Lepisosteus oculatus: one gene and its partner. The protein of the gene in region 2 purifies or fractionates together with the protein of the main gene of each other region. This does not show direct contact. Links are inferred from orthologs where the notes say so. Each region holds a gene or a part of one and is shown on either strand. Other genes may lie near its edges. The genes, in order: vapb and rmdn3.

Region 1 (12,928 bases), on a different chromosome or scaffold from region 2:
GAAAGCCAAGACACTAGGTCCCAGCGGAGTAAAAAAAAAAAGTGCTGAAAGAGCAGCAATTAACCCTTTCCTCCCCCATCACCCTTGCTTGAGTCGCTCGGAAAGCTCACAGTTCCAGCGAGGCTTACAGGGGTGGGCAGCTGTGCTGTGAGCCCCAGCTGCACAGCCTGACACACGAGTTAACAGGCTCTGAGAAAATGGCGCCCCTGACCCTTCGCGCAGAGGCACGGACGTGCTCCGGGCGCCCGCGCCGCATACACGCCCACCTGCCACTTCTTCCACATCCCGCTCATTAAATATTACCTTTCAATTAATGTGAGGAGGGGAGGTGGGGTCTAACGAACCCACAAAAAGACAAAGGAGTGCATAAGCACCATTCTCTGCCTGCAGGTTTCCAACATCCTCACACCGGCTGCAGCAGGAAGACCTGATATCGTCCGTGCAGAGTTCACTGAAATCTAGATGTTGCATTTTGTGTTGTTCCAGAGCTACATGCCCATGTCAGCCTTCTTGTAAATCTAACACATGAAGAAACATGGCACTGCGTTCACACATCACAGCCCCTGCCGTCTGAACCTGACAACCCAAAACACCACAGCTTGAACATAGAAGATGCAGCAACTGGGATTCAAGCATGAAATATGTGGATCTGAATCCGCTACACCCCAGATAACCAGCCTGAAAGCTTTGTTTCTGATTTGCTTTGCACAAAAGAGGAAAATATAGGCAGGTTAAAAAAAAACTAAAAAGCAAGGTCCCAAAGAAAACAAAAGAAGGATTTTGTTTCAGATGTCTAGGCATGGTGTTTATTAAACACAATGAAGGACAGGTCTCGTGGTTTGTAAGCTTTTGTAGGTAGTGACACATCCTAAGCTCACACAGCTGGTGATACTCGCATAGACTCCCCAGAGCTCTCCCACAGAGGCCCTGCAAGCTCAGTTAAATTATTGAAGAACTCAGTTACACAAAACCTTCAGGCAGGATGAAGTCAACCACCTGACGAGGCTTCAGGTGCCCCATGTGCAAACAGCTGTGCTCACGGGAGCCATAGAGACCAAAGCTTCCAAGGAAAACCGTTGCATCAAACAACGCAGAAGGAAATGCAACACACAAATAGAACACAACTGCCATGTTCAGAACGACAGCAATAACTGTGTACATACCTTGAATTCAGACACTTCTCACAACTAACGTACAGACTAGAAGGGAAAAAAGGCTCACGATTTCTTATTTTTATATTTTATTACACATGAAATGGGAACCCGACTACCCATTGATTTCACAGCCTGTAAGACTGTTCCGGACTGTTGTGGCAGCCACCAGTCCAGATCTGAAAACATTCCAGTCGGGCACATCCGCCCGTTTGAATAAAACAGGCCGGTGGAGCTAATTAGGGTACAGCTCGTTAGAAAGCATGCTCCCTGCTGTCGGCAATTCAGACACCTCTATCCAATCAATACCACGAGCAATGCATTAATCAATAGCACCGCCGGGCGAAGAGGAGAAGCGAGCAGGAAGGGACGGAAAACAAAGACCGCATGAGGGCTGATGAGATGCTGGACAGCCGCAGCAGGGCTCGGGGAATGCTCTCCCTGGATATCCATAACGTGGGGCCACCTGCCCCACGTTAACCTCTCAAAGACACCACGCCTATTTTATTTACTGCTCTTGCAATAACTCTGGCTTCTTTTTTCACCTTGTTATCGTTGACAGCTTCAATCGAGATTATTAACTGGATTGAATAAATAGCTGGAAGACATCCCTGGGCATCAGTCGTTTGGTGAACAGACATATTTTAGCTTTAAGGGACTTCCGGAAGCGGGTTCTTCATCTGAAAGGTTCAGAGTGGTGCCCAGGAATCATTCAGCTGATCACAGTAAGAATTCCTTGGGGTATCCCTTAGAGTCTGTTCGTAAAGATAAGCGAGTTCACAAGGACCAGAAAGATCCTGTTGCTGTAGTTAAAAGCAGTACTGCAAGATTCATACCAAGAACCACACATTTACAAGAAAGGAAAAGAAACAGGAAAGCTTCTGACTGTTTCTTTGGCTCTTGTGCACCTGAATTAGTGAAATGATGGACAGGGCCAAAGGCAGGAACTCACCTGGATGGCAGTGAGTGGTGTTAAGAAGTGTGAGTGAGACTGCGTACCCCGAAATGCCACACTAGCATCAAAGGGCTTTTCTTGTATTTGCACAGCTTAACTTTATTACTTAAAAACTCCTTGGAACACCCTGAACCACTGGAAGCACCAAAGACATTTTTCTAGATTCCCACCTAATTACATTTAATTGTCTGCAAAATATTTCCGATAAAAGCTGTCCTTGAAAACAAGGCAGATCTTTCAAGTGGCTCTCTGGAGGAAATTCTATGGAGCTCTCTCGGGAGAGAGTTCACCAATGCAGGGCCTGTGCCAAATATTAGCAGCGCAGTTCCATTCAGGAAAAAATGCTCTGACCTGGACTGGCTAATCGCTGGAGGAGCTCTCATCTCCACTATGTCAACAGAAGAAGAAAACCACAAGAAACTGCTTGGCAACAGCCTTGAAAAATAGCCCCCCAAAAGTTTTCAGTCGCACAAAAGAAAACCACAAAAAGAAGCCTGTCTGAAGGACACAGATGATAAATCAATGACTCAGAATGGAGGGAAAAAAAAAGATTTAGGAGCTGGATGGTAAACTATCTTTCCATTTTCAGATCAGAAGGGCCTGAAAGTATTCTCTGCCGAAGGGTGAGAGCAGTAGCCACCCCACAGGGCAAAGGGCACTAAAAACAGGGAGCAGAGAGAGCCGTGCTGGCAAGATCAGAAAGTGGGCGCAGTGCAACAGAGCAGTATAAACGGGTTTCAACACCAACATTCGGCATTCCTCCTTTATTCAGACACGAACGCTAACTTCTGCCAAAAACCTAGGAAGGTCGGACAAAAAATTGATTTTATTTTTTTACAGTTGTGTTACAATTAATTGTGATGAGTCCCAGAGGGACTCAATCGTCTAAAAAAAAATGTTCACCGTCACCGAGCCACACAGGTGTGAGAAAAATAAATGCAGATCTGAATGGATTAAGATAAAGGTTTATTTGCTTTGGAGGCTGAAGCTTAATGCACATATAAAATGCTGCAGGCCTACACTCTAAAACACAGTCTTACAAAGCCACGCAGACAAAATAAAATACCCACGGTCTGACACACGCAAGCAGGCAGCGACTGAGGGGGCACTTCTTGACCCAGAGGCTGATGGGAGAGCAGAACAAGCTGCCCACCCACCCAAGCGTGCCATTAAAGATGACACCCCGGGCTCTTCCAAGAAATGGCTGGGTGACCCGACTGGTTCTGGTCTCATTTGGAAGCGCTGTTATTTTCATGTCACACGATGATCGGATGGCCCGAAGGAGCAGAAGGGAGGTCAGCAAGACGGCATGTTACCATGGAATTTAGAGGTCCAAGTTTTTATTTTTCCCCGGGAAGATCCAGGTTTTTACACGGTGTGTGTCTGTATATGGAAGAGCACACCTGTACAGCAACACATTTTTACCTTCAAGGAATTATATACCATCACATCCGCAGCGGGTGCAGGGTGCAAGTGAGGCCACCAGACATTCCCAGCTAGTGGACTGTCCAGAGGCTGCGACATGGGCCCGGTCACTCAGGACTCCCCGGGATGACACAGCCTGTCCACGAGCCACCTCCCTTTGCGTTCTGACAGGGCTGTTGACCCAGCTCACGCCAAGACATCCTGGCCTCTGCCACTGTATGGGCTGGTCACCACCGAGCACGTGTGGGACATCCTATTCACTGCCCTGGGCAAAACCACACCGCTAATTCCTCTCCAGTGTCCAGAGTGGGTTGTAATCCCACCAGCCAGGAGTGAGGATCTGATCCACAAGCTGTACCAGCACATTGCTGGCTTTAAAAAGAGGGAGAAACTTACACCAAGAAGAAGTTTATTTACATATGACAGTCACCATTTCAATCTCTGCACAGGAGCATCTGCACGACTGCATCTCTGCAAGTACGCTTGACTGTTGTACGTGCTAAACACCCATCTAAATGCACACAGAGCTGGACTGACATGCTGATCCCTCATAACGTAAGGCTCAGAAGGCTGGTTGTTGTGGCCTAGCCTCTACAGATGACCGCTCCTTTTCGCACAAGCCGGCCGGCCGGCCGGCCGCCCGTCGCAAAACAAGAAAACGCAAACGCCCCCCCCCAAAAAGAAAGAAATCAAACCCACAAACGAGATCAAGCGCTGGAGTGAGGCGGCCTGTACACCGTGTGCAAGAGCCGAGCCGAGCCGGCGGCGCTGCAGCACAGACGGCCGCTTCCCCGGAGACGGGCCGCCGGGCGACAAGGAAGCAGAGGCGCTTGTGATCCCGCTGCAAGACGGTGGGGGGCTGGGGGGGTTCAGGGCAGAGTCATGACCCTAGTCAACCTCTCCGAAAGGGGGGGGGGGACACATACACACACAGCGCCAGATACGACTTCCCTGCCGTGTCCTAACGCCTAGGCCGCGGGACCAAACAGGGTACGCCGAAGGGGAGACGGGGAAGGAAACGCGGGGGGCCTCTGCACAGCCCTGCCTTCCGCGCCGGCGAAAGGCTGCCCGGCGGCACGGCTCCATCTGCGTCTTCCCCGGCGACCGAAGGGCCCACACCAGCCCGCTATGCGCGCCGCCCACCCCCCTTATCTCCTCAACATGGCCGCCGCCTTCAGAGGAGCCCACCGCACACACCGTCGGCTGGAGACGGGCGGGCGGGCGGCTCTGCTCGGGCCCGCCTCTCCTCCTCCTTACCTCGGAATTTCAGTTCGTGCTGCGGCTCTAGAAGGAGGACCTGCTCTTGCCTGGCCATGTCCCGGCGGTTCGGAGCGGTTCGGCGGGCTGTCGGTCCGGGAGCGAGGGGGGTGAACGGTCGCTCGGTTGCGGGGAGCGCGGCTCGAGCTGCTAGCGGCAGTGATGATGCAGCAGGAAGGAGGTGAGAGAGAGGCTGCCGGTGACGTCACGGCCCCTGCATTACCCAGTCGGCGGGGGGGCTCCAACTGGCCCCGGGTGCAAGGTGTGTCTCTCTCTCTCTCTTCCCCCACCTAGGCTACAGCACTGAATAACCGATTCAAAAAATAATGACCAAAAAATATATATATTTTGCATCGGGGGCCCATTGTACAGCTTCAGGGTTAAGAACAGTGTTAACAGCGCACCTGAGCCGCTCCTGTGTTAAGTTGCATGAGCTTCAGGAGTGTTTTACCCATCTTGAGGGAGTACAGAGATGGTTCGATCCGTTTCGGGTTCCTTTGTTTTTGTTTTGTTTTTCCCCCACGAGCTCCCGTTGCACACGTTTTACCGATGCAAAAGAAAAGTACGGGGGTCAGTTTCAGCTGTGCTGTAGCGCAGGGTCCGCGTCGCTCCGCCGGTGGGCGTGGTGCCAGTCTGAAGGGGTGGAAGGTCAGGGCGGCAGGACTCTGGCCTGCTCAGCACAATTCAAAGGGCAGCGTTGAGCGGGGAGGCACATACCTCCAGTACGACATATATAGAGATGGAAGCTGCTGGCTCTCAATCTCACTGATGTCACCGTAACTTTATCCTCCTGCTGCCAGCGAGTAATCGCAGCTCCCCCAGCGGGGGAACATTCCGCAGAAAGATCCCCTGGCCGTCATGTGGAAGAGTTAGGATAAAACATCGACATTTTCAGATCAATTACTTGCATACCTTCTAACCTCTTGGGATTGGGATTTAAAAACTTTAATGCGACGATGGATTTGGACTCATATGGTGATTTTATCAAGTTTTTGTACAGGTATAAATCAAAACTGTGTATGTGTGGGTTGATTAGGGGTGGGGTATACTGATTGTTCGCACTGGTTTGTAATTGACAGTCATTGTTTTGCTGGGTAAAGATCTCTTTGTACATCTGTACCAAATCCGGATTTTAATCTTTTCACAGGCTTCAACAAAAACTTGATCTGATGACTTTGTGGGAAGCATGGACATCTGGTCAGAGGGTACTAAAAGAAAAAAAATCCAATCTGAAACTTTTTTGCATTGGAACAGATGCCACTGACCAGACGTTGTGTTCTTTAATAAATGTTTTTATTAGTAAACAGCTTGACATTTCCCTTTTGCACATTCAGAAATACATAGTAAAGTGATTTCAAGCATTTTTATTTGTACAATCGATATGAAAATATTAAAGCTCAATATGACAAATTATAGATGGAGTATTTTTTGGGTGGTGCCTTTGCAAACAACTCATGGTAAATAATGATATGACTTAGCTCACCTTCCAAAACTGTATTAGGGTATTCACGTATTTATATATACGTTTGCATGGTATCTACATTAAAACATTATATAATTATAAGGGAATTGCTACACTGTCTCAGGACCAGCCCGAGATAAGGAACTTCAAGAGATTTCTTCAACATTGTTTATGTTTATGACTGACAATCTCCTTCACACAAAAAACACTACATATTGCAAAGCAAAAGCATCACATTTCATGCACAGAAGCTAAGCCAATGCGTTACTGCGCCTGATACAAGCGGTTAAATATTCTACAGCAGCTACGATATGAAGGCACCAGACCTGTTAGCATCACTACTGCAAACATGAGCGAAGCACACACGCTGTCGTACCACAGTGCTCGAACAACAGTTCACCGATGCAGAGCCGCCTTGCCCTTCCCAAAGGCAACACGGAAAACGGCACATCCAGGCTCAAATTCCAAAAGAATGAAGACTCGGATGTGCATCTTTTATCATTCCTCAACACACTGCACTGTTTTAACACGCTGATGAAAGGTTTGATCCGTAGCGGAAGGAAGCCTTTTGAAAGCAGGTTGGTTCCGATGGCTAAAAGCTGGTGATCACTGAGGCAGGAGCTCTCCACTCCTTCCCAACGCTTAACGATTCCCATACAGCCCCAGCAGAACACACTAGACAGCAGTGCTTTACTGCAAACTTGCTACACCTTACCAACAAAGTAAGCGATGATTCACAGACAACTGGACCAAAAAATAAGGAACCGAGTATCTAAAAAACAGAAGGCTTTGACTTTAAAGCACTTTCCAACACAGCAATATCAAGGGACATCTTTCTGCAGTCAGGCAGAATCACTAACAAACCTTTTAACTAAAGTGGTAACATTTTCACTACAAATGAAGCCTATTTATAACACCAAATTTGTATTCCGCTGAAAAAAAATGTCTCTTTTCCACACCTATATTAAATCTCTTGCTTGCACCTTTAAATTTTTAAAATGTAGCACTTCAGAAAGCTCAGCCGAAAGAAGATAACTGTTCATGGAGCAATTAAAATCATTATAATATTTCGCTCCTCAGTGTGCGTGCCCTGGTGTGACTGAATAAATAACCAGTCTGAAATCCACAAATAATTTAAGCAGAGAAGCATTTTTGACTGAAAGCTGATGTACCGTACAGGGAAGACTGACTCTCACTGGACTAGTTTGTACTTAAATCAGACCTTGCTCTGGGTTTGGATCAAAGTCCTGCTGTTGAGCCAGTGTCTTAAAGATGTGGCTCTAATGTGCTGCTGATAAAAAAAAGCAGCACTCCTTGGAATCCTGCTTGGAGTCAACTGCATTACCTTTGGAGACCTCTCATCTTCACCATGGCTCATTAAAACACATCTCTACACTGCCTCATCAGGAACAATCTGCACTGCTGAGGCGCTCAAAGGTCTACAGGGTGGCAAAGCATGAATGCAAGATATCACTGCACACTCACGACTTTAAAATAAAGCTTTACACAAAATCACAAAGTGCGAAACCAAAAGCCACAGACTGCCGCTCAAAAAGCATAGGTGGCTTATGTCCAGACATTAAAAATGACTTACAGCTTCACTAAAGAGTCCCTTTAAAAAATGGGTTGGTCCATCTGTGTGCAACATGCAAATAAAAAAGTCACATAAAAAACACATTTAAACAATCTGAAACTCTACTGGGTAGTTTTCTTTCCTGAAAAGACAGTAGAGGCTGGAGGCACACACTTCTCTTCAGGAGCACAAGGGCCTGTCATACTGCCTACACATGCTTGTCTGAACCACTGAGCCAAAACATGAGCTCCTTTCTGGTTTCTGCCTGTAAATAAAATAAAATTGCATTGACAAAAAAGAAGAAGTTGAAGCAGTGTCTAACATCAGCTCCACACGAGGTATGGCTACTGCGCTTCAATGCAGTTTCAGTTTCTGTGAGAAATGTATACAGGTGGAAACAGTGGTGGTTTGGGTTGCTTTAGTGTTAAAATTAATAACCTGATTACTATGTCAGATCCAATTGATAACATTTCCCGTTCAAACAGCATTCGGCATCTAAGGAAACGCATTATATTGAAAATCGATAGATATTCAATTACTCTCCCTTTGCTCTCATTAACAGAGCAACAACAACAATAAAAGCCATTCAGCAAAAGTAGGCCAGAAGAAAAGATCAAACAGCTCAGCTGAAAGGTGGAGGTCAGATGGAGGTCATACTTTCCCAGACTGCATTGTTGACCAAAGATGCATGATTTAAGGCAAGAATGACTCCACCACTGAAAAACATGTGAGCGTTTTTGTGGATCAATTCTTTAATTTCCACTTTCCAAGTAAAAGCTGTCCTCTGTCCCCACTTGCTGCAGAGCAACAATAACATCTCTTAAAACTAACCTTGCTTGAGAAATGCCCAGAAGACATTTCTTTTATCCTATTTAAGTGATTACAAAACCAATTAAGAAGCACCACACAGCATCATAAACAAGATCATTGTGTTACAGGGCTCTTGCGCTTGTATTTTCTTATTTTGAATGGGTTTTTTTTTTTGCTGAAAAGATGAAAATCCAGTTTTGCTGCAGAGCTTCTCACAGATATGGAGGGTTATAAATGCAGGGCTTTTTCCGTTAATATTCTCTAGCATGTCCTAATCTGTAATAATCAAAAGCTTGTTTCACAAGAAAACAGTGCAATAGCTCAGTGCTAAACTTCATCAAACAGCCATTGGCCTAGGTATGAAAACCACCTCAACAACAACAAAGCGAAAGGCATCTCCTTAGGGATAAGAGCTCCGGCACTTGGATACAGGGAACACTACAGGAAGAGCTGTAGGAAGAGCTGGGATAGACACGCCACTGGTTTAAAAAAAGTAACCAGCTCACAGGCGTAACTTCAACTTTTGTTATCCAGCCACCTTTCCATTTATTCACGCAGAACTGGAGGGGGCAACAGGCAGGCGTCCCTGCGGGCTCAGAAACTTGCTTAAAAAGGCTTTCAAGTGATATGAACAGTGTGCTGCATGTTAAGGTATAGGTATGACTGTAAAACAAATTAAGGTATGGTATTAAAACTATTTTTTCATCAATGTTTTAGCCTGCGAAGGACTGGCGTCCCATTCAGGCTGTCCCCTGCCTTGTAGCCGCTGCTTGCTGGGATAGACTCCGGCTCCCCTGCAGCCCTCACTTGGACGAAAAGGTTAGAAAACGGACGGATGGACAGGTCATTTGTAACCACAGGTGTACCAGAAAAAAGGGCGGAATTCATATTGCAGGAGCCTCTGAAACCTCCTAACAGCAGGAGAAAGCGTGGGTGCAGCAGGTGATTTGAAAAACTGGCTGGATTCTTCCCGAAACTTTTCTACTTTCCAGATACCGTACTTTGCTTTTCATCCCCGTCCAGCTCGTAAAATCAGTTTGGAGCTGGAGGGGAACTGACTTATTCTGTAAAAGAATAAGAAAGAGGTTTATAGGACAATTAAGGGACCAGCAGAAGCCCTCTAAACGCATTTCTCCTGTTTGAGGTGAACAAAAAACCCCGCAAGGGGCCAGAGAGGACCTCTGCCAGCGAACGCCGCGCAGCTGAAACAGGCTTTTTAAAAACATTAGCATGACTGACACAACGTAAAACGGGTTGGCTGCTGACTGGCTGGACCGCAGCCGGGTAATCCGTTCGCAGAATTCCAAAGCCTGGCTCGTTTGCCAACTAGTAAAACCGAAATGAGGAAAACATTCCAACCGCTGGAACAGAACCTGTGTCGCACACATGGCCGCCACCAGTCTCCTCTGCCGCCTTACGAGCTCGGCTCTGGCAGCCAGACCGCTGCTCCACGGTCATCAGTTCCAGTTCTGGTTTCCCTTAAAAGAAGACAAACTCAAGATGTTTCCAAAGTGTCCTTGTAAGTACATCACACAAAAACACCAGCCAACTGTACGGAAACCTTTTCAGTTGTTGCGACAGCAGAATAAATGTGCCTACTGACCTAAAACAGCCATGTGTCAGCTTGAAATCCTGGTTCCTCCTTGACGCGGGTGTGCTCCTCTCATGATCAGTTCTCATTGGAGCTCAGAAAGGTCGCAAGTGAGAGCAGGCCATTCAGCTCGTCTACACCCAGCTCGTTTGGGTACTTCTAGCTAATTATGTTGAAATTGGTTCAGTGAAGGTTCAGAGATAAACTCTGTGGCGAAAGCAATCGAGTCCAGTGAGACACGCCATGCCTGGCAGGCCAGTGGCCCAGTGAGCACGAGTGAGCATGATTGTGAGCAGGGAACAGCGTGAGAGAGACAGGCCGACTGGTGGGAGCAGTGAGCCCTTCCTATTGGCCTGTTCCCAATCCGGTCACTTAATCCAGCAGAGCCTCATGAAGAGGCGGGTCCTGGGGGCAGGGAGACCAGCAGACAGGAGTTGTAAATACAGAGGTTAAGTCTTATTAGCCGTTCCCATTTTTAAAAAAAATCTCTCTTGTCCCGAACACATGGAGAGACCCGGCCTGCCCACGAGCCATCGGGCCACCAAGCTGACAACAAGAGGGAATATTGGACGGCCACACCAAAACACAAAAGAAACAGACGATCCGGTCACACCCCGGCCTTTCCATGTTTGAACTTTTCCCCGCCCCACCCCGGCTCCCCTTGACAGTACACAATTATAAACTAATTCCCTTCTCAGTGGGAATTCCATCTTCCAGTCCTTCACAATTCAGTGCTGAAGTCCACCCCCTGCCTCATGGCTCAACCAGTATTTCCAGGGAAGTTCTTCTGCTGTAACCACGGGTGATGCAAGCCACGCCCCCAGTGACATCACGTCAGCCGCCTGCTACACCATGAGGGCACTCAGCTGCTACACTGCCACGCCCCCACTCCCAGCTTCCTGCCTGCACCCTTGCAGAGCACGGCACGCTTCTGAGGGCGGGAGGTGGGCGGGTCAGTCAGAGGATTTTTTTAATTAGCCATTAAATTAGTCTCTTTTCCCCAAAAGTACTTTGCCATACCGTGACACTTGCATGCAGGAGCAATTCATGCAGGCCTAATTACAGCTTCTTGTGGAAAAGAAACCCAGAAGATTTACAGGTGGAAAATTAAAAGGGGAAGGGAGTTTTGGCACAGTTCAATAATCCACAGTCATCTTGCGTTCTTCAAATTAAGCCAGCAGAAGAAAGCAGCACAGCTCATGGAGGAAAAGTGCTTCGAAAACCAGACCATCTCCTGCTGCCAAGACTTCAGTTTCTCTGAGCTGAATGGTAACAGCAGAAGAAAAAAAAGTCCACATTAGAGTTCCATTTTTTAAACTCTATAAGCACAATAAAACGAGATTTGCGGTTTTACGGGCCAGGAAGGCCTCATTGCTTCCTCGGTCTCTGGAAGGCCCAGTGCGGGCAGGAACACGCGAGCACTCTGGACAGATCTCGGGGGCAGACAGGGGTGAAGGCTGCTGTTTGTCATATCCTGCTCGTGGCTCCAGATGTGAAGTGGTAGGTGGGACAGCAACAGGTAAGGGCTCCCTGCTGCAGGACTACAGTGAAACAGAAACGCACAGGAGTTCCTGTGTCCCTCTGTGCTCTTCACCTCCTGGGCTCGCTTGGCTGAGGCTCGGCTCGTCTGTGCGTAGTGTGGAACCTCTCAATGGACACGCCCTGCGGACACACTCTCCCCGCCCCTCCCCTCCCCCCAGGGGGGCGAATCCCAGGGCCCCTCACTGTATCAGCAGCAACTGCGGCGAGACTCCGACGCCTGCCTCCGAAGTTTAAAGCCTTTCCCGGCTGCCCCCATGCTGGGATCGGTCACAGGGATCCTCTGACCTGAAGAGGATCGGAAGAAAGGATAATTATCAAACAGGCAGTGGCATTAACAAGTACTAGCACATAAGAAGCCAAACCTGAGAGCAGACTCCCTGAAGCCTTTCAGCGGTGAGTAGGCTGCTGTCCTATAAAAGCGTCTTTACTGCCTGTGTTTTTCTAGACCGGAACCCAACCATCCAAACAGGGGAAAGATGAAATACAAGCTCCCCCACTCCCCCGAATTCTCCTTCCGCACTACTACACTGGAATCACCCGGCTCCCCGCCACCCTAGGGATGCTCCAAGGCCTTTCTGAAGCACATCCCAGCTGGTCCTGGGAGGATGGTGAGGACACTGGACAGGTAGCACACGGCTTGGCCAAGCCCCTTGACACCGAGCACGCCTGGTGATTCAAAAATCTCAACAAAGTGGATCAGAAGAAGATTCACGCTGAGCGTAGCCGTGCACCAAATGCTAAGAGCGAGCATTCATTAGAAGAATCCCACTAATCACTGGGGGCAGACTGGGCAGGGACAGTCCAAGGGTGCAATGACACAAGACAGGCACAGCGTACTGGGTCAAAGCAAGCACCCCGAAGGCTGAGGAGAGGGAGCTCTTGGGATAACGAGGCACTTCGTTTCACTTCAAAAACAGCGTGAGGGTAACTAGATGCTCCAGCTGGCAGCCCGTTAGCAGGGTAACAGATCTGTTCCTCAGCTCGCAGTGTAACGTATACAGGGTGGGTGGGTGTAGGCTTGCCTCTGACAGCCTGCCAGCGCACAGCACAGGGAGTGTAATCTCACTAGCACAGCTGCGGCGCTGCTGGCCTCAGAGGGATTAATTATGAAATAAATAAATAAAAACGAGTATCTAGAGCCTCATCTTCAGTATGATTTTGT
Region 2 (12,907 bases):
TGCAGGACTTAGATTACAGTACATTACATTACCACAAGAAAGATATTTTTTTTTGTTGTCATCATTTTAGCAAAATATTTCCAAGCACCAATTAAATTGACAAATGTATCTAACTTTATCAACATTTGTCTAAAGTATAAAAATAAATGACCTGACAAGACATGAGCCAGAAAGCAAAAAAATTAAAAAAGAAAGTTTGGGATTGTAAAGGTTATCATGCACACCTTTGGGTGGTTGTGCTTCTTTGACATTTCCTAATTATAATCATCATGTCTTTGATGTGTTGAGTGATGGGAAAAAAATACTTCAAAAGAAGAAGACACCCATGTTTTCCCTTTCTGATAAAAGCGTAGTTAAAAGAATAAAAACAATGACAGGCTAAATGGCTCCTAAGTGCCCTGCAATTTTCTGAAGAGATCTCCTGATGCGGTTGGATCTGTGCCACCTTTAGCTAACTGACCTGAATTTTCTAAGGTTTTTTTTCCACCTTTGTTACAAAAAAAACATAATACAAGCGTTATATAACACCCAAAGCTTTTTTTGGCTCACATGTACTCTATTAAACAGCGCACTTCACAAAAATAGCTCCTCTGCACTGTTTCGGAAGGGGGTGACCCTGAAGCCTCACTCAAGAGGTTCCAGGGAAAATAACCACTTTCCCATCATTGTTCTGCTTCTTTTCCTCAAAGTCAGGAAGTAGGGAAGTTTTTAACACTTCTAACGTGAAGCATCCCTGATGAGGGCACGGCTAAAACATCGGATGCCGAAACAAGAAAGCCAACAAGGCCTGCGCAGGCAGGGCGCGTCCTTGTGCCAAGGATGGGCAGAGCTGCACAGCCTCCCTGCCTGCCACCCCAGTGCTTCCTCTCCACCACCGCAGGGAAGCACCCAGGTCAGTCCCAGCGGGAGCCCAGGTAAGAGTGAAAGTGCATTTGGACGCTAATAAGATGGAGCGCTGGAGCTGTAACAGGAATTCACACAGGGGCTACCGGAAGGTGGGGGCGGCTCAAGAAAGAGCTTCTGAAAGTGTGTTTTGGCAGGAGGGATTCTTAATTTGTTTTCTGCTTTCAGCTCGGTGCCCCTTCGGTTTCCTGTTTTCCTTCCTGGATCGGTACTCTTCAAATCTGCAGAGACAAATTCTTGAAAAAGAAGCTCCATGGGAACCCGTCTTTCAATCAACAGCGACTTGTCGCTTTGCCTGTTTTTTTTTTCCCCCCACTTTATCAAGGCCAACAACCTTTTCAAGTGTGCAAGAAGGAATGCAGGTCACGTGACTTATCCATGACGTTTCTACTCACAGTACTTGCAATATGGTACTTGCAATTTATGTTTGCATGAATGTGGAGGATCATTTAAAGATGGACATATCCTTCATATCTCCAACGATAAATAATTGTGATTGTCCATATGCTGCTTCCACCATAACTTGCTACCACCACTTTAACTCCGTTTTCTGCAAGATATCATCTTTCCTCAAACTTAAACTTTTAGAAAACAGCATTCTCAATCCTGAGGTGTGCACACATCTTAATCTCATTTTCGGCGCAGTTTCAATTACTGTTCGAAATGCTTTCCAAAATGATGTTTTGACTGTTCAGGGATCCACACGGGTTACCACACGAGAACTCTGAGATGCATGCAATACAGGCGATTTCAGAGACTTTTGACCTGTGAAACCTACCCTCCCTCACTTTCCCCATCGTATGCACTGGCTGGGCCTGCACTAGCTGAAAAGTAGATGGAGCTGGAGCTCATAGAGTCGGTGCGCTCCCTAGGCAGGAAGATTCTCCGTTTGCGTGCTGCCTTCTGACTCTCCTCCACACTGAATCTGCAGAACAAAGTGAAACAGAGACATAAGGAGGCTTCAAATTCTTTCACATACTGTGTTATTGATCTTCATGCATTAATCTATTGCTCTCAATACTGTGGATCACTCAATAATTTCAAAAAGGTTGCGTAATATCTGTCTTGATACAGTCTCACTTGTATGGTGTCGCAACTATTTCCAAAACCATAAACAATGTGTAAAACCCGACAGATATAATTCACAACCACATCCAGTTACAAACTGAGTCCTGCAAGTTTCTATTTTGAGCCCTACTGCTTTCGCCATTTATATTAATATGGTTCAGGCAATAGGCGATCTTTACTTTTCAACTGATTATGCCATTTAAGCACACTTAGACACCTCATAAGCAAATTTACAGACTCAAAATTGGGAAAACACCTCTCTAATTTATTGCAGTTCTCAGTTACATCTTTCAATTTAAAATGTAGTACATTCAACAAATTTAACTATCCAAGAAGAACAATATAATTTTTAAACTTATTTCAATTTGCCATATGTCATTCCTAATGAAGGGAATAATTTACAGAGTAAGCTGAGGGCATCTGCCTTTGTATTCTAGGGTTCTTTTAGTTTAATCATTTCTGCCTGATACTGACTAATAAATCCATATCCTGTTATGTTATGCCTTTTACATTTTACTGATTGCTCTCTTCTTTCTTTCACTACTATGTTTTCTATACTAATGCTGTATAAGCCTAAAATTGATCATTTTAAAAGGAGAAATTGTCTAAATTGACCTTTCTGGTTAAACACTAGGATTAAGTAAAAAAAATACATTGTGCAGGAAAGAAGACCCATTGCTCATTCCTTCATTTCTGTGCTTCTGCTTCCTCAGAAGGCATTCATGCCAGTTACCATTCCATTCATACAAGCATTTCTCTCCTCACTTCACATCCTGGACAATCTGGTCAGCGATCCCCTGCAGACCGTTCCTCAGGTCAGCCACTTCAGCCCGCAGCTCAGCCACACAGTGGAGCACTGCGTCCAGCCGGCTCCACAGCTCCCCCTGCTGTTCAGGCAACACACCCCGGTCTGGCTCCAAAGACAGTGTTCCAAGTGAAGACCCTGTACATGGGCAGATTGATTAAGATAGAGTTCAATCCAAGTTTCTGATACAGCACTATTCAACTATTCAATCAAAGTAGGCTTGACGGCAATAACTGCTAAAACTATGATCAGCCTATGACAGTTTCATGGCTTAATTAATTAATAATTAATAGTTTAATTTCTTAAACTGATGTACTTGTTCCTTCGAAAACACAGAAGCATCAATACACCACTTAAAACAGAGAAGGCAAAAAGCAAGAGAATGACTGCAAACACATATTATGTTTACAAAAACATAATAGCATGAAATTTAGCAAAAGGTATAAGGCCAGTGTGGAGAAAGAGGGAAAGAATCTGTGGGAGTCAAGGATGACATTTCACAATACTGTAAAGCCTGCCAAAATAAAGGAAACACCACTACAACGTGTTATTAGGATAGTGTGCTATCATAGGCCACCAGAACAGCTTCAATGTGCCTTGGCATAGATTCTACAAGCGTTCTGTTGTAGGGATGTGACAACATTCTTCCATTAAAAAACTTCATCATCATCTGAGGTTTTGTTGATGGTGGTAGAAAACGCTGTCTCAGACACCACTCCAGAATCTCCTATGAGTGTGCCATTGGGTTGAGACCTCCTGACTGGGATGGCCATGAGATATGGTTTAAATCGTTTCCATGCTCATCAAACCATTCAGTCACCACTCGTGCCCTGTGCAGGGGGGCACTGTCATCCTGGAAGATTCCACTCCCATCAGGATGACAATCGTGATCACTCAGAATGGCTTTGCCATGTAAGCAGTCAATGCACCATAAGAAACAAGCACTCGAGCCTATAGGCTTCACTTGGCAAGCATCACACAGGTACTTATCCGCTTGTTGAGAACAGGGCAAAGGGTGACTCATTTGACCATATGACTTTTTTCCACTGCTCAATAGACCACTACTAGTGTTCTTACACCACTTTACTTGCAAAAGTACATTTCTAGCTATAATACAAGATTTAAACACTGCAACCCAACCATGGTATCCCTCTCTCTGAGGTTGACAGACTGTACTTAATGAAACAGCCTTAGATTGACATTTGCAGGCAGCTGATTCAGAATTGTTGGTCTGTTTTGCTCATCTATCCTGAACCAATGCATGGATATCACAGGCAGGGAGTGTGCGCTTTCGTCCACAGTTGCCTCTAGGCGATGATGTCTTTCCATTAGACGGCCATGCCAACACCACTTTAGCCACTGTTCCTCGTGAAACATCAGCACGTTTCACAGTCTTTATCACTGAAGCTCCTGCCAAACATTCCCCAACAGTCACCCCTCTCTCAAAGCTACTGACCCTAAGCACGAAGTTAGGGTGTTAATTGCTTAATTAACTCAGGAACCATACCTGTCTAAAGCTGCTTTCAATATACAGAACACTCATTTGCTCAAGCGTTTCCTTTATGTTTGCAGCTAACTGAAATATATTCTGCGTGCGATTTACCTGTGATATCCAGGGCTTGTGTAGTGCTGTGAACTCCAGTCGGCCCATCCGTCCTGTGCAACGCGTGTGTTGAGTTGTTTTCCAGTCTTAGCTTTCGTACCTTCCTTTTTTTCCTCTCGTTGCATATAAAATAAATAATCAATCCAGCTCCTGCGGTAGCTCCCAAGCTCAGTACAACCAAGGTATTTGTTCCTAGTTTGCCCATTACAGAAAGAAGTCTTATATACTGTATATAATAGAAAAGTACACCAAATGGTTCTAATTCATGAGAGGTCCCAAATTAACGTTTGCTCTCCACTAGATGCAATACTAAAATATATCGGAAAACAAAAATATTAAGTTAAGAGTGTCGTTTAGGAATAACTAGAAATATATTATTTTGTAAAATAAAAGTTTTAAAATAAAAAAAAACATATGAATGAAGCCCCATGTAATTTATTTAGAAAGTGTCCGTGCTTTTATTTTCTAAACGCGCTTTAAAATATGGCAGTTTCAGTGTTTCTCCTTGAATTGCACGAATACACCACGCTTTCTCCACTCAAGCCGGTTGTCTGCGTTGTACTACACTACAGCCGCTGTCATCACGTTTACTTACACTAGAAAGCCTCTTGAAAACGTAGGACCAGAATCGCACGTTTTTCTTCGTTTTTGTCTAAGTAAAGATTATTATTTAACGTTTTATTAGCTGATATGATAATATCAGTTTCTATTTAGTATATGTGCTCACTATTTCTGTTTCGTTTTTTAGCATGCCGGGGGGAAAAAACTATAGTGTTACACCAAAACTCTTCCGTCTTGCAACCAAAAGCTATACATTTTTATACCTCGCCCCCACCGTAAGGTTAAAGTGACAGTAACCATTACGGACACAGGGTGACGAACATACAGGTCAACAAAGGTCGCAAACGAGAGATTGCCATTCAGACCGCAGCTCTCATTTGGTTGCAAGAGTAAATTAAATCATTTAAAATGTACTAATAATCCAAATCATATTATAGCAAAGCTGAATTATTTATAGTAGTAAATAGAACGTTTGAAAGGTAAAAAAAAAACAATAAAATGCTAATACTGTATGTTATACAGTACATTTTTCACGTTATGTGTTTAATTTCTTAAATTGATGTACTTGACCCGTCTGAGGAACATTATAAACCATTTTAATTTCCGAATTTATTACATAATTCAAATTGTTGTAATTTACTCTTTTAAGGAACAAGTAATAGGTTTATTACATGCTAAAAAGAGATGAGAGAAAACACAACGTTTTGGCTGTGAAGCCTTTGTGTAAGCTGCTCTCTCCTGGTGAGCATCACCCCAAAGCAATTTACAAAAAATCACAATGCTGTTACAATGGAATAGTACATACAATATCTGCTGAGAATTACTCTCCCAAGCCTTTTCAGAAATTTTATTAATTTTCTCAAAATATGTTTTTTTAAATGTATAAACATTGAAAACTGCTTACTCACTTGAGTCTAGTCATTATTCTTTTTCCACTGAGCCTTCGAAAGATACATGGAGAAGATATTTCTGTTGTATATTGACAGTTATTTTCAAAATCGAAGGATTTTTTATTGTTTATGAGCCTCAAATGACAAAGAGCTCTGAGGATATTAAAGACAGTATCTCAGTGTTGCCGTTTTCAGGGAAAAGGACATGAAGGTGATATTAATCGAAAGGCTTTTATTTTCACCTTCATATTTTCATTGTCAAAGCTTGCGCAATGCCTGTCTACTCCACTTGGCATTTTTATGAGTTTCCCTTTTCAGATCAGATCTTTTCATTTTACTGTGTGCATAATCCACATAAGTCTTCTTTGACTTAACCATTCTATTTTTAACTCAATTAAAGTATTTCAAAATTAGAACTTGTGTAAAACAAATGTGGATGGATACCCAACTGAAATATTTATTACATACCATTTATTAAATTTATTAGATTATGTATTGGTGATTCATAATTATTGTAACATCATCCCTTTTCATAGTGCAGCACATTTTTAACAGATAAAAGCAAATGTTCTCCAAATGGCGAGTAATATATTTTGATTAAAATCAGAGCATGTTATTTTTCTCTTGCCCTACAAATGAAACAACCTCAGCAAAGCAAAGCACTTCTTCCAACTTAAAACAAATACACATTGATTGATTGACTGACTGATTGATTGAGAAGAATCAGCTCTCCTATGATTAAAAGTAAAGACAGAACTCATACATATAAGATCTCTTGACATCTTTTGAGGCTTTACTGTATTTTTGTTTGAATTTTTTTATCATGGGAACATACTCATGTAAAAGAAGACATCAAGAAATATAATTACAAGTACACAACAAAGGGCATAGAAAGATAGATTATATGTGGGGAATACCCTTAAAGCACTCTCAAAACCTGAGGGATTATAGAAAAACTAAGACCACTTCTTGGAACTGAACTCTAGTCTTTCAAAACATCCATTTTTGTTGGGAATTAAAACAGACAAGTCTGCCTTTGGACAAAAATGAAGTATTACCAGAGGATTTCAGTAAAGGGACACCATAGAATCATGTTTCTCAATTAAACTGAAAAGTATTATGGGACACCAGGATTTGAGGTTATACATATTGACAGCCTTAAGTAATTACATTTTTGAAGGATAGTTCAAGTTTTCGCAGTTGAAAGACAAAATTAGAGCGCGGTAAGAAATCCTCAACATGTGCCCCTTTAGGAAAATTCACCATTGTTCTATGTCCGTGTTTGAGAATAAAACCACAGTGGATATTATGTGACTTTTCCAAACCACAGGATTAAAAGGGAAACCTGAGCCGAACACAGGAAAACCATAAGAGGTGGCAAATCATCCAACTGCCGTGCACTCAGGGAAGACCGGGTCTGATTGCAACATTTTCTGAAAATTCTTGAGATAACTCTTTCATCTGTTTTCCTGTCTGAAAAATAAACAAGCTTGTCTGAGTAGCTAAATTTCTGATGGACCCCCCTGCTATATTGATATATAGATATGTGCTGTGGAATTTTATTGCCACTTGTTTTTCTCTGTTCCAATGGTACATAAATGCTTGTGTTTGATCAATCTACAGTATATACAGTACAGCATATATATATATATTACAGAGCACTGCAAAATTATTCAGACCATTCCTATGGTATCCCATTTGGTGAAATTACAAAATGAGTCATACACGTTCTTTTCAATATAATACTGTCTTACATCCTTGAGTCTTTTTGGGTAAGTCTCTATCAACTTTTCAAAACGGCTTAGTACAATTTTTGTCCATTTGTCTTGACAGGTTTGCTCGGGTTCTCAAGTTGTTTGGGGACCACTTAATGGACAGTATTTTTCAAGTCTCTTAACAGATTCTCACTACAATTCGAACCTGGACTTTGACTGTGTCACTCGAGAACATTCACTTTCATAATCATAAGCCACTGCAAAGTAGCTTTGAGCTTGTACTTTGGATCACTCTGCTGAAAGGTCCATTTTTGTCCTAGTTTTAGGACTGAAGCAGATTTTTCCTCTAACATATACTGTACCTGTACTTTGCCCATCCATACTTTTCCTTCAATCCTAATAAGCTTTGAAGTCACTACTGAGGTTAACCTTCCCCATAGGCATGGTGGTGATGATGTGCTCTGCTGGCTTTTGACGATTTAATACACCAAAAAGTACTAATTGTGTCTTGTCTGACCACAAATCCTTTGTTCGCAGTATCACGTACCTACTGATGCAAACTACAGTGGGATCTGAGAATTTATCTTGGACGTTATTTTTTTTTTTCATTTTGACTTTTGCTCAATATGAGGAGCAGGTTATGTACAGTACGTAACAGACATTAATTTCTACTTCTAAGTGGCACGACTGCAAGCTCAAAGGCAACAAAATGTGAAGACGATGCAGGGGCTGAAGACTTTTGCAAAACACTATATTAGCCGTATAATAAATAGAAAGTATAATATATGGTGGTTTTATTATTAATATGTATTCATGCAAAAGTATTTATTGGAATTTCAGTGTGCTGGACTTAATGGAGAGTACAACTCTCTATTACACATCTAAGGACTTAGTCTGCTTGGAAGAAAAAAATGCTTTGCTTTCTTCATACAAATTTATTGCCGTTGGCACAGAAGTGTTTTTGTCGGCATATGATTGGTCCGTTGCGATGGGTGTTTCCGCATTCTGCTCTGAGCTGTCAGTGTAGGAAAGCTGTTGTGGAAGAGAGCTGCTTGCTTCATTAACCGGTTAGAGCTGCACTCGCCAAATAATCCTCAGGGGACGATTTGGAGACAACTGCGAAAGGGGGTAGAACGCCAAGTCCGAGGATGCCTTACGTGCTCATCAGCACACAGATTCGACTGGTTTGTAACATGCATCGGTTGCTCTGAGAACTAGCTTGAGTTAAGCGTCGCACCGTGATTACCATTTCAGGCTGGATAAGCCTTTGCTAACGAGACTTAAAAACGATAATGTCTTCTTCCCCGCCCCCAATGTTTGTTAGGTGCTAAGAAATGCTGGTAACTTTATCAAAACATACAACAATCCTTAAAATCCAGTGGTACCGAAAGAATCTTTAAAATGAATTCTGTGTCCTATAGACTCACCTTTGTGATATTCCGGTGTGGATGAAAAAAAATATAGTGTGGAAAGCGGAATGCACTGAGCAAATATTGCGTAAAGTGTTATAGTTTGTACTGCAAATTGTTAGACGTTTTGTAATAGAAAGGGTTTATCCAGTGTATTCTGTGTTGGATCTAAATTGAATGTGTTGTCTGTAAATCTCGTTGGGGGGGCGGGGCCGTTTTGTAAATGTAAAACAGACATTTTAAGGTTTACAAAAAAGCCCATCCTAAAAACTAGAAGCAGACGTGTTTGGTTTGCGATTCCAATACTGTAATTTACCATTGAGTTCATTCTTCCGCTTCTTGCCCGCGAATTCTCTGGAATTCACAAATAGGCGAAGTGTGTAAATGTTGATACATTATCTTGTGAAATGTTGATGGTTGCAGTTAGTTTTATTAGCGTTAAATGTTATATACTGTAGAACCGTTTTCAAACGTATTTATGTTTAGACTTCTTAAACTATTAGCATTAGATATAATATACTGTATCTATAGTATAAACTACAGTATAAAATGAGCTGTATGCATCAAAATATATTTATATTGTTGTGCGAAAATAACTAACTTGAAAAAATATTTTGAATCTTGTAAGATACTGTACAAAAACAGATGCTGTTACTTCTACTATTGATTTACACTTTGCAAAGGAGATGAATTATCTCGAGCTAGAACTCCAGGAAAAGCGTCTTTGGTCGTGAATCTGTTTATCGCGTGAAATATACAGTAGCTGAGGGATGTTACGGGAACAAATACGTCTTCAATTAAGAACTTATTCAAGTTTTAGGTTAAGTGTAGAACATATGATATATCTCATATTGTTGATGTTGTTGTTGTTGTTGTTTTCTGTTAGCCAGCAATAAAACTGCTGTCTCTCTCATATGGGTGTATAATAGTTGCATAACAAAGCAGTAGATGTAGTATTGATTTTAAAATGATATGTGTCTTTCCTGACTGTTTCTCTTGTGTTTCAGGAAACTGGTCCTACTATGGTTGGGGATGAATACTCAGACCCAACCCTTATGAATTACTTAGGAGCCAGGAAAACAACAATGTTGGGCAACAACTTGTGAGTGATATTATTTTGCTTTAAAAATGCTAAGATTACATGATTGGAGTGGTAAATACTCAGTCCATTAATCAAAACTCTGCTTATACAAATGAAATATGCTTATGACATATGCTTATGACATAGGTCTAAATCATTATAAGGATTTTGTACAAGCAATTTGACTGCAGGGCTTTAAAGACCAGAGGTATGGTAGAAATTGCCAGCTTAATTGGACTGTCAGTTCAGGAACATAACTATATGAGAGGACAAAACTGACAAATTAGTAAGAATATTAGATTATGGGTAGATTATGTAAAAACATAAAGCATTATATAGTATGAAATAAAAACATTTATATTTTGGCCTCTTTTTGGAAGATGTTTTGAAGTGAACTGAGGGAGAGTGTCTTCTGGTATTAAAAATCAGTTATGTCTGTAAAACATCAACACACCTTTCATAGAAATCCTACATAGGGTAGAGCTGATTAATTGTCCGTACTCAGCTAGATGAACAGAGAAATATACTGACCACATTCTCTTGATAAGTGCAAAATTTAATGTTAAGAAGTGGCCTCTCAAGCAGCTTATCCTATGTGTGAGAGAGGCATCAGGCTGGACATAATTATGTATTCCCTGATTGAGAAATAATGCATTTTAATTTAAATGAACATTAAAGGAGAAGTCTGATTATTAGTTTAATTCATTTAATGTAATTTCTGGCTCAAAGTAACTATTGTTTTTATTAGCAGTGTGGTGAATACAAATGTTCTGAATCTACCTTAGTATTTACTTTAACTAGTGCACTTAAATTCAAAGGTGAATACACTTTTTTACATATCATTCATGATGGGTGTATGTGTGCATATTACCTTTTTAAAAATTAGTTAACCTTTTTCACCGCCATGTTTCATCATTGTCCAATTATATATCTCAGCGATCAGTTATTATTAAAAACTTTGAAACTCAAACATAAACTGATTGCTTAACCCATCAATATGAGTGGGGTGTGGTGGGGAGAGCACATCTAATGATAAAATTGTGTAATGCCAGTAAACATTTTCTGTTATGTCTTGTTGCATAACAAAATTACACTCATCAGCCAGTGATATAAAATATTAAATCATTTTAGTGCTTTAACCATTTGAAGGTAATTATTATTTTAGTCAGTTTGTTTGTTTGTTTGTTTGTTTGTTTGTTTCAAAGACTTCTATAACACCAGATTAAGGGGAAATATTGACATCTGGTAAGTACTGTAGATGAAAAAAACAAGAAGCTTTGAAATAAAACCAGAGACACATCAGCTCCTAATTGCATTATGTAATAGTGTAACCAGCCAGCCAGAGCTGGTAAATAAAATGATTTGTGGGAACATCTGCATCTAGCATTCCTTGCATTGGTAGTCCTGTTATCATGATGTGAAGTTTTTTTCTTATTAGAAAAATATATAATAATAATAATAATAATTATAATAATTGCTTACACTTATATAGCGCTTTTCTGGACACTCCACTCAAAGCACTTTACAGGTAATGGGGACTCCCCTCCACCACCACTAATGTGCAGCATCCACCTGGATGATGCGACGGCAGCCATAGTGCGCCAGAACGCTCACCACACATCAGCTATCAGTGGGGAGGAGAGCAGAGTAATGAAGCCAATTCATAGATGGGGATTATTAGGAGGCCATGATTGGTAAGGGCCAATGGGAGATTTGGACAGAATAATAAAATGATTCTTGTTAACTGAAGTACTAGGAAAATAATTGGGAGACATTTTTTAAGCTTATATTCTAAAATTGTTTTTTTATTATGAGATGTACAGTAAGTCAAAAAATTCTGAGAACTAATCATTAGTTTGCATTTCATAGTTTTGTGTGAGTAGGTAGTATTTAATCCCTTTGTGTTTTTCTGAAAGGCCTCTTTCTTTAACAGTGTGGGCTTTGCATCATATTCCTTTGGCATTTAGTGTTATCTTTCAAAAACACCTTTCAGAATTACTGTGGAAAAGACACTAAAATCTCCAGTTTTAATCTTGGGCTAAACTACAGAGGAGTTAATATCCTGTCTGTCACAGTGTGATTGGTTTTGTCAGACTGTATGTTTTATCAGTGTCTTATCAGAAAGAACATTATACAGTTCACTTCTGTTTTCCACTGTGGTCTGTTTGTTGTCACTCTTAACACAGTAAAAAATATATATATATATCACTCTGAGGGACAATCGAATGATCTTTGAGCAGACAAAGGGAAAAAAAACCTTACTCACAAAAATAAAAGCATTACCAGATTTCGAGTCCAGCTTGCATTTTGGAAGCAAACCAGTAAAGTTGATAGGTCCCAGACTTAGGAGGTGATGTAATGTTAGATGCACTTAAAGTGGTCTTCACAAATTAATACAGGTGTCCTCCACTGAGGATATTGTATTCAGTATATGCCCATTATATAAAGGAGCTCAGATCTCTGGTACTCTGGTAGAAAATGGACAATTTATCTGAATTTATCAATTTATCTGAAACCCCAAAAAATTATCCTCAGCATATTGTAAGGCAAGGGACAGGTGCGTTGGTTTGGCAATGTCGGTTGCAGCATGATGTAGAGGTGAACTTCCTGCACACAAAGGGACCTTCAGGATCATTTCCAATCCCTAACCATTCTGATCAAATCAGTGTAGATTTAGGAATATGTGCTGACATCGCTGAAGCCAACCACAGCAACTAGCAGAACACATATTGAGTCCTGAGGAGATAAGCGACGTATAAGAAAAGTAGTTCAAGTTGGTAGCTGTGCCAGCATGCGTAGGCTGCAAAGGAACAAGTAAAGGTTTATTCCATGCTGAAAAGAGAAGAAAAGAAACACTGTGGAACCTTCTTCA

The links.
Region 1: the proteins of rmdn3 (region 2) and vapb purify together in Homo sapiens (affinity purification with mass spectrometry; 4 studies listed by BioGRID and IntAct, counting the BioPlex papers as one, with this or other methods). This does not show direct contact. The link is inferred for Lepisosteus oculatus from reciprocal best matches to the Homo sapiens genes RMDN3 and VAPB.

The regions. Positions count from the first base shown.
Region 1 is NC_090711.1:1,775,366-1,788,293, reverse strand, and holds the start of vapb (vesicle-associated membrane protein-associated protein B/C), read right to left. Parts: upstream 4,960-12,928; 5' UTR 4,847-4,959; coding exon 4,789-4,846; intron 1-4,788. Other genes in the region: rab22a (ras-related protein Rab-22A), read right to left, coding at 11,954-12,051. UniProt on the Homo sapiens protein: Endoplasmic reticulum (ER)-anchored protein that mediates the formation of contact sites between the ER and endosomes via interaction with FFAT motif-containing proteins such as STARD3 or WDR44.
Region 2 is NC_090703.1:17,033,392-17,046,298, forward strand, and holds the start of rmdn3 (regulator of microtubule dynamics protein 3), read right to left. Parts: upstream 5,144-12,907; 5' UTR 4,585-5,143; coding exon 4,380-4,584; intron 2,915-4,379; coding exon 2,737-2,914; intron 1,829-2,736; coding exon 1,682-1,828; intron 1-1,681. Other genes in the region: gchfr (GTP cyclohydrolase 1 feedback regulatory protein), read left to right, coding at 8,694-8,729, 9,962-10,056.